Linked DNA regions of Saccharomyces cerevisiae S288C. Changing the gene in region 3 together with the main gene of any one other region gives a genetic interaction. Each region holds a gene or a part of one and is shown on either strand. Other genes may lie near its edges.

Evidence for each region.
Region 1: mutations in YML119W (region 3) and PPT1 together harm fitness more than expected from each alone (negative genetic interaction), as found in Saccharomyces cerevisiae (one large-scale study listed by BioGRID).
Region 2: mutations in YML119W (region 3) and ECM23 together harm fitness more than expected from each alone (negative genetic interaction), as found in Saccharomyces cerevisiae (one large-scale study listed by BioGRID).

The regions. Positions count from the first base shown.
Region 1 is NC_001139.9:736,463-740,223, forward strand, and holds PPT1 (protein serine/threonine phosphatase), read right to left. Parts: upstream 1,742-3,761; coding exon 200-1,741; downstream 1-199. Other genes in the region: ASN2 (asparagine synthase (glutamine-hydrolyzing) 2), read left to right, coding at 3,482-3,761. UniProt on the Saccharomyces cerevisiae protein: Protein phosphatase that specifically binds to and dephosphorylates the molecular chaperone Hsp90 (HSC82 and HSP82). Dephosphorylation positively regulates the Hsp90 chaperone machinery.
Region 2 is NC_001148.4:509,101-512,325, reverse strand, and holds ECM23 (Ecm23p), read right to left. Parts: upstream 1,226-3,225; coding exon 662-1,225; downstream 1-661. Other genes in the region: SUMO protease ULP1, read left to right, coding at 1-13; ssDNA endodeoxyribonuclease RAD1, read right to left, coding at 2,327-3,225. UniProt on the Saccharomyces cerevisiae protein: Involved in morphogenesis. May be involved in cell wall organization and biogenesis.
Region 3 is NC_001145.3:28,930-32,229, reverse strand, and holds YML119W (uncharacterized protein), read right to left. Parts: upstream 1,620-3,300; coding exon 546-1,619; downstream 1-545. Other genes in the region: NADH-ubiquinone reductase (H(+)-translocating) NDI1, read left to right, coding at 2,423-3,300.

The DNA.
Region 1 (3,761 bases), on a different chromosome or scaffold from region 3:
GAAGATATTTCTTATTTTTCTAAGAGGTATTATGATATGATACATGACAATAAACATTATGAAATTTTTTGTGAAAGATGTATAAATTTATAAAAAAAAAAAAAAAGTTACTTCCTCCACTTCGTTAGCTCATATTAGTTTCTTTTATTCCCAGACTTTCTGCTTTTGATAATAATCTAGCAAAATAGAAAAGGCATGACTATAAACCAAAACCACCATTAGAATAGGCCATTGGTTTTATATCTGGGTGCTCAACAGCTTCGAATGTCTCAATTATTAGATTTTGGTCGTCATTCCTGCCAGCCTGTAAAATACCATGGCCTGGTACAACATGAATAACACCCCCAAGATTACCTTGGCTATCACAATAGTTTGGAGCACTGAAAACTGTCATTAATTTACCCTTCTGCTCGAATTGCACACCACCCATTCTTAACTCGTGAGATCTAAAAATCTTGCGCAATTTGTTGTTTCTTAGAAATCTATCTGTAATGTCGGGTCCAAAAGCATGTCCTAAACCACGCTGAGAAGGACCCATCCCGTTGGCTTCTTGTGGGTCCGCCCATAGAAGTTCCATAAAGGCGCCATCTCTAGGTGGTTGGGCAAATCTATCAATATTCTTGAAATCAGACAAAGTTGCTGAAGGATCACTTGGTAAACCACCATGCATTACAAGGTAATCATTATTAATTAAGGTAGCCAATGGAAGGCTCTCAAAACTTTGTGCAAACATGTTAAATATCCTTTGTGAATATTTGTATTTACACTCATCTTCAAACCCATAGATTTTGTTCATATTATCACTCTCATGATTACCTCTGTTCAAAAAGAAATTATTTGGATGTAATATTTTCAAACAGTAGAATAATAGTGCAACTTCACACGACCAAGAACCACGGTCGACAAAATCACCATTGAATAGATAAGTGTGCTTAGGACCTACTTTACCAAACTTGCGAAATAAATTCAAAACATCATAAAATTGGCCATGCGTATCACCACATACTGATATCTTAACATCAGGAGTAGAGTTATTTTCTAGTTCTACCATAGATGGCTCTTGACGAAATAAGGTATCAGCATGAGAGATAATAGCTGCAACGTACTTTTTTGGTAAATATTTTCCCTTTAGGAAAAGATCGTTAACCATTTTGGAAATAAACTCTTGAGACATGTTCTTGATCTTTGCACCTTTAAAGGCATTCTTATCGTCATACAGCTGTTCAAATTCTAACTTTGGACCTTCATAATTGGCTAAATCTGCATTAGCATCAAATGAACTCAAGTTCAAAGTCTGACACAAACTGATCTTGGCTTCATTTTCTGCGCCTCCGATAGCTTTCCTAAATCTTTCTTCTCTAATGAACCTATCACATGTAAGTAACGCCTTAGTAGCAGCCGGATCATTGGGCTTCGCCTTTAGAAGCACATTCAAATCTTTCCTAGCCTTTTTAAATTCTAGCAGAGCCATGCAGGATAATGCACGTCTATGATAAGCTTTGATATTTTTGGGATCCAGTTTAATGGCTTCATCACAGTCATTTAAAGCGCTTTGAAAGTTATCTACCTTAAAGTGAGCAAATGCTCTGTTCGAAAAATAGATAGACTGTGTAGAATCTAAATCGATCGCCTCTGTATATTTTTCAATGGCCTTTAAAAAATGTTTTTCCTTCACAAAAACATTTCCTTCGTTCTTTCTTTCAAGTGCCTTCGCGCGATCTGCTGCTGTGGGTGTTGACATATTCGAGATATTTGATTATACCAAGGCAAGCGTTATTTCTTGCCTCTAAAATTGTTAAAGTTCTGTGTCAAGCTCTATAAGCTGTTTTCGCCAATTTTCTTACCTCATCTGTGAAATTTTTCAGTTTCCCGCCGTCGTTTTTTTCCCTGGTTTAGCGTTTTAACGGAAAAAGAAATACATACATACAATGATTGAAAAAATATTTTCATAAAGAAGAAAATGAGAAGGAACTTTTGAGGACTAGAAGTGTTCCTGATAATTGTCTCAGCCAGAATTTTCAGTGGCCAAGGTACGAACAAGAAACTGCTAAAAGGAAAAAAAATACTCAGAATAACAGAAGATGACAGACAGTATTGTGGAACCCCAACAATTATCTCAAAATTTACCTATTTCTTAAGTATAAACAGTACACTGCATCAGTGGTATTAGATTTGTCATGGTGTAAAATTTTATGATAAAAAAATACAACATGGCGGGCGTAAAATAAAATACATATTCGTAATCCTGGAATATTACGCCAACTACAACCAATAACTTATGATTATATTACCAGAATATTATCATGTATGGCTCTCAAAATATGACATAAATGGTTTCTATTAAAAGCATCATCAATTCAATGAAGCTGAAATTTCAAGGATTGGTGATGTAATAGAACAATGAGCGGCGATATCATAGAACGAAAAAAGAAGTAATCGTCATTTTTTGTAGCACTCTTATTTCCTTTTTTAGAGTTCTAATCCTCAAGGTGAAACCGTAACATATGCATATACTTAACGATACCGCCTTCTTTGAAAATTAGAAGCCTTATATCTATTTCGAACGCACATATGTTGTCATACACAATGCGACACATGAAAATACTACTCTTTACACCTGTATTATCAAACTATTAATCAGTGACTTCCGAAAAAAATAGGTCTCTTGGCCCAGTTGGTTAAGGCACCGTGCTAATAACGCGGGGATCAGCGGTTCGATCCCGCTAGAGACCATTTACTTTTTAGAATGCAAATATAAGATCCCGATAAATCATAGAACCACCACTTACTTATTCACTTATGTGGTCCTTCCTGCTGTGGGCAGAGAGCGATTTGCACGTACAAAGCGATCAAATTACGAACAAAACAATACATAAGAGGTTTGGACACGTTCTTAAGGCTAACTCCACATTGCGATAACAAGATTAAAGTGAGCTCCTGCTCATTCCTAATTGGAACTCATCATGCCTCCCATCAAGGTGGAGCCTGGATTTTACTAAAGAAACCGTTCGAACGGCTCTGTATTTACTAAGAGGGGGATATATCAAATCGTGGAAAACATGAGAGAACAGTCTCGTTGCGTGCAACAGCCGCTATCCTGCTGCTCTCTGCATAACTGGACCTTGCGTATTGGGTTCATTCTTTTGGCTTTGTGAAACGATTCACAAAGCCATACGTCCGTAGTATGGACCCTGCAGGAATGGTCTACATTTTCTATCTACTAGTAAAGCTTTATTCACATATGGGTGCCGCACGGCGCGGGTTTTTGCAAATTTTCTTAGCATTGACTCATGGCAAGATTTCTCCAGAAAATCAGTAAAGCCTCATCCAGCCTCTCTTCTTGAAAAAATTATGACTTTGAATCGCATATTTCAAAGATTTGCCACTTGCTTAGTTTCATTTATTCTAATTTAACTTTTATACTATTTTTTTTGCTTCCCAGTTAAGCTCACCAAAACACAAATACTCACTACAATACAATATGTGTGGTATCTTTGCAGCCTTCAAGCATGAAGATATTCACAACTTCAAACCAAAAGCTCTACAACTATCTAAAAAAATCAGACACCGTGGCCCAGATTGGTCAGGAAATGCCGTTATGAATTCCACCATTTTCGTTCACGAGAGGTTGGCTATTGTTGGTTTAGACTCCGGTGCCCAGCCAATCACTTCAGCTGATGGCGAATATATGCTTGGCGTTAATGGTGAGATCTACAACCACATCCAACTAAGGGAGATGTGCTCTGATTACAAGTTTCAAA
Region 2 (3,225 bases), on a different chromosome or scaffold from region 3:
CGCTTTAAAATAGTTATTCTTTTATAATATACAATTATTATACATAAGTAGAAATATTCAGATCATTGGATATGGAATAAAGTTCAATAAACCACTTGAAAATAAATCATAAGAATAGCATAAGCACCAGCTCAATTTAGATGTCTGTACAAAAAGTAATATATTTTAGAGATGAGCAGGCAGAACCACACATTAGTGACGATTGTCTTCGACCTTATGTGGAATCTTAAGCTTTAACATATAAGTAAAAATTTTTATTTTCAACAAAAGATTAGAACGAAATGAAATTCCTTAATTGAACCTTCTCTTGGATATCAATCTATTGGCAATCATTCCTAGAGAATATATTATTGAGTGAAAACTGTAGATACGTGCTAAGCGGTAAAGCCCTTATGAACATCGTCACACTATCTCTATATTGAGCCTCCGTAAATTTCGAATCATTTGAAATTCATTTTTCCTGGTAGGAAGATACTTGATAGTGGAGGATAAGTAAAGTAAATTGTGGTTATCATTTATTTGGTGGTAAAGTACCTTTTTTATGTTTTTTTTGAAGATGGAAATTCAGGCATTTTAAAAAAATAGAAAGCTCGAAATATCTCAAAAAACATAAAAATAGAGGAAGAATCCGCTGAATATACCATCTTTACAAACTACTTAACTATTTATTTTTAAATATAAAATTTTTAGTACCATCATCGGAGGATTGTTGCGATCGTATTTTTTTCTCCATTTTTTTCCTATATGCTATGCCACATCGACTACATAGCTCAACATTTCCATTAGGTCCACTTCTCCACTGAGAAGTCCAGGTGTCACCACAAGTGGCGCACTCTTTTGGTTGACCGTTGGGGAGTATAGTTTGTTTCTTCCTACTTTTAGGTCTATATCCTGCTAAAGATTTCTTTCCATTGGATGATATTGGTAGTGATGAAAAAGATGGGGCTGGTAGAATAGAGGGGTTATGCAAAGGCCCACCAAGACGACTTTCTTCCTTCAATTTTGGACTCAGCGCACTATTTAAGCTTTTGATCTTCTGTTCAAGAATATCTGCTCTTTTTAAATCTGGCGTGACACCAGATTTCGGGATACTGGCTACTGAACAGCAATAATTGGGATTAGCGGCAATGAACAGAACCATTTGTACAAAACGATCGAAGTGGAATTTCGTTCTACGACCAGAGCTACTAGCGCCGCTTGTTCCCTGCTCTTTGTTATATAACATAATATGATTTAAAAGTTCTATCACTCAGCACTACAACGCAGTATTTTTATTCTAGATGACCAGTATAGCAAATATTGTTACCCTTGAGATATTGGTAATTTAACCAAATCTCAAGTCATAAATGCCTCCCTTTTAAGTTTACATAGGCAGTGGACAGATTGGTACATCATATTAAAGGAAATAATGAACGCTAAAAAGAATGCCTTTTACTGACACATTCACTTTTAATACGAAAACGGATTTTGTGGTATATGACGTTGAGCACTGCGTGGTTTTCTGTGAATCCGCCGTGCCTAAAATGGACCCTTAATTATTTAACAATAGACCGGCCCGAATAATGTTAACATGAAGGGAAAAGTGCACATAACTGCAAACTACTTTGGTAGGTTGATTATCAGAGCTAAGCCATCCTACAGGTAATGATTTCCAAATTTTTTCTTAAGTAAAAAAGTTCAGAAAATAGAAGAAATATAAAATTTAAAAGGAATTACTGTTTACGAGACACATCGTTCATTCTTGGATAAATATACAAATCTACTTAAGAAAAAGCTTTCCTTATTTGTTGTTTCCTACTTTGTACCATTTGGTTTATTATATATCGTTGTGGAAAAGAAACTTGGTCTCTTGAATCTTAGTCGCAAAAGAAAATTTTTACCCACATAGGTAATGGAAAAGAGACAAAATTATTTCTGGACCTTATTCAAGAGGATGAATTTGAAGCATTTATTAATAATGAATATGATTGTGCGCTTCTAAGAAAAACTCACGGGTAATTTGGCTTAAAATGATTCACTAATGCCACGCTCAGATTCCACCAAATACGGTTAAAAAATCAAAAATAAATGAACTTCATTTGGTCATTTTTACTGCTAAAAAGTGGAAGATGAATTGCGGATGATATGAAAAATTTGAGTGAATAAACTATGAACGCGAAAAAAAGAATATATATGCGGAATAAAATATCAAAGTAAAAGATTCAAAGAGCATGTCTAACTTATAACATATACGGTCGAAGTCACCAAATGAATATTGTTATTTTCACTATAGTTAATCGCATTTTATACTGATGTTTTAACAGGGTTCGTTAAATTAAACAATATTTTACACAGGTGCTTCAGGAACATCATTATGATGATCATGTAAAGCGTTATCATCAGTGGTCTTACCAGGAGATTCAAGATTTTCATCTGTTGACTCTTGTTCTTGTTCTTCTTTTTCTGTTCTCAAGAAGTAGTATATTCTATCCGTCAAATCTTCGTCATTAATAAGTTCATTAATCTCATTCCATGAAAGCTTTTGAAGCTTATTGAAGCTCTTGATCTTTTTGCGGAGATTGAAATAATCAATTTTTGACACTCCAGGAACATTCAACAGTCTCTTGAATTTAGACTCGTTATCACCATCCTTCAGGCCCTTTGCAGTGCTATTAAAATCCGATCTAACTTTATTCGTTCCCAATATAACTGCATTACTAGGGTCAGGTTGCTCACGTCCTAATTTCAACTCTAGGATTATATTTACAGTTTGCAGGGGTGAGGAAGACCATATAATCTTTAAAGTGGGAAACCGCAATACTAATTTGGCTAGTTTTAGCTGAATTTCATCCTGGGATAACTTGCTTGATATAGGATGAACAGTTGATATGTCTTTATTCTTATAATTTCTACGTTCACTAAAAGGTTCTAAAGAAAACGACTGTCCTTCATCAAACTCAATCAATAGTGTCGGATATGCATAGTATTTTAACATTTTTTTACATTGGTTGGCTAATCTGTTATTCTGTAATGACCCAATTAAGTCAGAAATCGATTTTCTTTCGAGACAAATATCAGGAGTTATCACATAATCGCCGACTGTCAACATACAAGGAATAACCCTTATGCCATATCGGTAGAGTAAGCCTGGTAATGAGGCATTAAACTCACGTGTATCCACAATGACGACATCCTGAGTAAGATTATGGAATCCCTGCTGCCCACCCGCATTTCTGGTATTAGATT
Region 3 (3,300 bases):
CCATGTGTTAGTTTGGTATAACTATTGTGATTGAATATTGGTATTATAGGTCATCCTTTTTTTCTGTGCAACGAAGGGGTGGCTGAGCATTTTATATATAATGTCGGGAGAGGAATGCAGGACTTTTAACATATCAAATGAATAGTATCTGAGTTGTTCACATATTTGGTACGTATATTATTTATTATTCTGCAACTTGTTTACTGCATGATAATATTGAAATAAAGTGAAGAGAAGACGGCACAGAGAAATTACAATGGCGCAAACGTAAGGCAAAAATGGCACAACGAATTCTGAATTCGATTGCTGGATCACTTTTCAAAGATATTGTGTTCGGTTGTGACAAAGGCATCATTAAAATAATTATATGTCTTTTGTCATAAATTTAGATCGTTAATAGGCTTTTTTTTGTATTTTTAATTCACATGTTAAATGTTTCGTTTTGGCAACTAATAATAAACTACATTAAGTAAAATGCAAAACTTCAAAGTGCGGAAAAATGTATTGGTATATAAATACTATAGACAGAATACAGAGAATCCGTATCATTTCAAAGGTTCATTACTTAGTATCTCCGCAGGGAGGATTCTGTTGTTCGCACTTCTCTGCTGAAAGCTATCCTCCTCCTCATCTTCCTCATCTTCATCTGAAATGGCGATGCTAAAAGAATCTACCATTCGAAATATATCAGATCTATCCATTGCCTTTCCATCAAAACTCAATTCAAAGCTTTCGTTGGCATTTGTGGAAACACTGGCCCCGGCTCTCTGCTTCGCATTGGAATTAGGGAGATTCTTTACGGGCTTGCTGTTACCTTGCAGCTGCTTTTGTTGCCGTAACGTTGATGTCAGCTGCACTCCGCATAATTCGTCTAGTGATTTTGAGATCCGTGTCTTACTATTTGTGGACAATTGAATAGGTTGCAAGAAGTGATAGTTTTTCTCAAACTTCAACGAAATTAGCAGGATTATGATTTTTTTGGATATATCGTCTATCGTTTCGTGCACTGGAGATGGTAATTTATATGTGGTAACGACGGACCTAGGTAAGATGCACTTCTTGATGTTGAAATTTGTTTTTGATTTCGTGGGAGAATTCGTCAACTTAGGTGCCACACTAGTGCTACTTCTTGTACCATACAAATCAATTGGCTTGGTAAAATACCGTTTCTTTGTACACGTTCTGGAAGGAAAAATAATTTCATTTATGCTGCTCACTTCCTTCGTTTGATTGAATTTAAGAGATTTAGAATTTAAATGCGACACCGACTGATGATGCGGATGGGAATTTACATTGGTGTTTGCAGCGCCCATGGTATTTGTATATCTAGATGGCCTGTTATTATTACTGCTACCGCCCCCGGTATAATGGTCTTCATTAACTCCTTTATTAACCTGCGAAATACTGTTAAACCTTGGTCTCAGGTTTTTTGTGGGTGACTCTGGATAATAGAAAAACTGCTGGTTGGAATCGAAAGTCGCTTTTTGTTGGAAGCTCAGGACTGGCTGCTGATTCAAATTAAACTGCGTAGGAGGCAGGACCAGCCCACCGCTGTTATTGATGTAAGATGATTTGTTATTGAGCGTCCTTCTTGGCGACACTGATGGACTTGGGCTCATTGCTACCTACTTTTTTTCTTACTGACCTAAGGCTGCAGGTGCAAGAAAAGAGTAAAAGAATGTTAAAATACGTTTTGAAAGGTCTCTGTTTTCATGTACAATTGAGGGATAAAAAAATCTTTTCTTTCTTTCAATGCGGATGATTGACACTTTCTTATTTTGTGTTTTTATTTATGTTCTTTCCTAATCTGGAAAGCATATTAAAGACCGGCGCTACCCGGTTAAGTAATCATACACGTGAAAAGCACGTGAACAACAAAGCACTTTAAAACTCATATACTACGCATTTAAAGAATGCTAAAACGGCAATTGCCACTGGGCACCATTTAAAAGGTCAATAATGAATCTGTGACCTTTCTTTGCTATAGCATCACTACAACTATGTGTTGCTTGTCGCTAGCAACGAACCTATTATTCCTTCGCTTTATTGTCGAAGACCACAAAATACTCCAAAGCAATAGAATGTCTCTTTCCGCAAATAACTTACTCAGGGAAACAATACGAATATGTGCAGATTGCCGATCATTGCTGAAATGCCTCAAAAATATGCATTTTCTCATGACCTATTCATTCGGACCAATCATATGAAGGCATTGAACGTCCGGGTAACCACAATAAGAGTGCTCCCCCTTAGCGCTCTTGGTTATTGCCGGTATTTGCAACGTCGACAGGGTATATATAAGATGTATAGGGCATAGTGGGGAAGGAGTTTTAACTACCAATTGAGGAGTTTCAGGTAGGGTGTCAGTTTCATCACATCATCGAATTACACGTTTACCCAAGAGAAGAAACTAAAAACCACTATGCTATCGAAGAATTTGTATAGTAACAAGAGGTTGCTCACCTCGACGAATACGCTAGTCAGATTCGCTTCCACCAGATCCACAGGGGTGGAAAACTCCGGAGCAGGTCCTACATCTTTTAAGACCATGAAAGTCATTGACCCTCAGCACAGCGACAAACCAAACGTGCTGATACTGGGTTCGGGGTGGGGAGCTATTTCGTTTTTAAAGCACATTGACACCAAGAAGTACAACGTTTCCATCATCTCTCCTAGAAGCTATTTCTTATTTACGCCTTTGTTACCTTCTGCACCAGTTGGGACAGTAGACGAAAAGTCAATTATTGAGCCCATCGTTAATTTTGCTCTCAAGAAAAAGGGGAACGTTACCTACTATGAGGCAGAAGCCACCTCTATCAATCCCGACAGGAATACCGTTACCATAAAATCATTATCTGCCGTTAGCCAGCTATACCAACCTGAAAACCATCTAGGGCTGCATCAAGCAGAACCTGCTGAAATTAAGTACGATTATTTAATCAGTGCTGTAGGTGCGGAACCTAACACATTTGGTATTCCTGGGGTCACTGATTACGGTCATTTCCTGAAGGAAATTCCCAACTCTTTGGAAATAAGAAGAACTTTTGCCGCCAATCTAGAGAAGGCTAACTTATTGCCAAAGGGTGATCCCGAAAGAAGAAGACTACTGTCCATTGTCGTGGTTGGTGGTGGGCCTACTGGTGTAGAGGCCGCTGGTGAACTACAGGATTATGTTCACCAGGACCTGAGAAAGTTTCTCCCTGCATTGGCCGAAGAAGTCCAAATTCACTTGGTCGAAGCTCTGCCCATCGTTTTGAATATGTTTGAGAAAAAGCTTTCATCATACGCGCAATCACATTT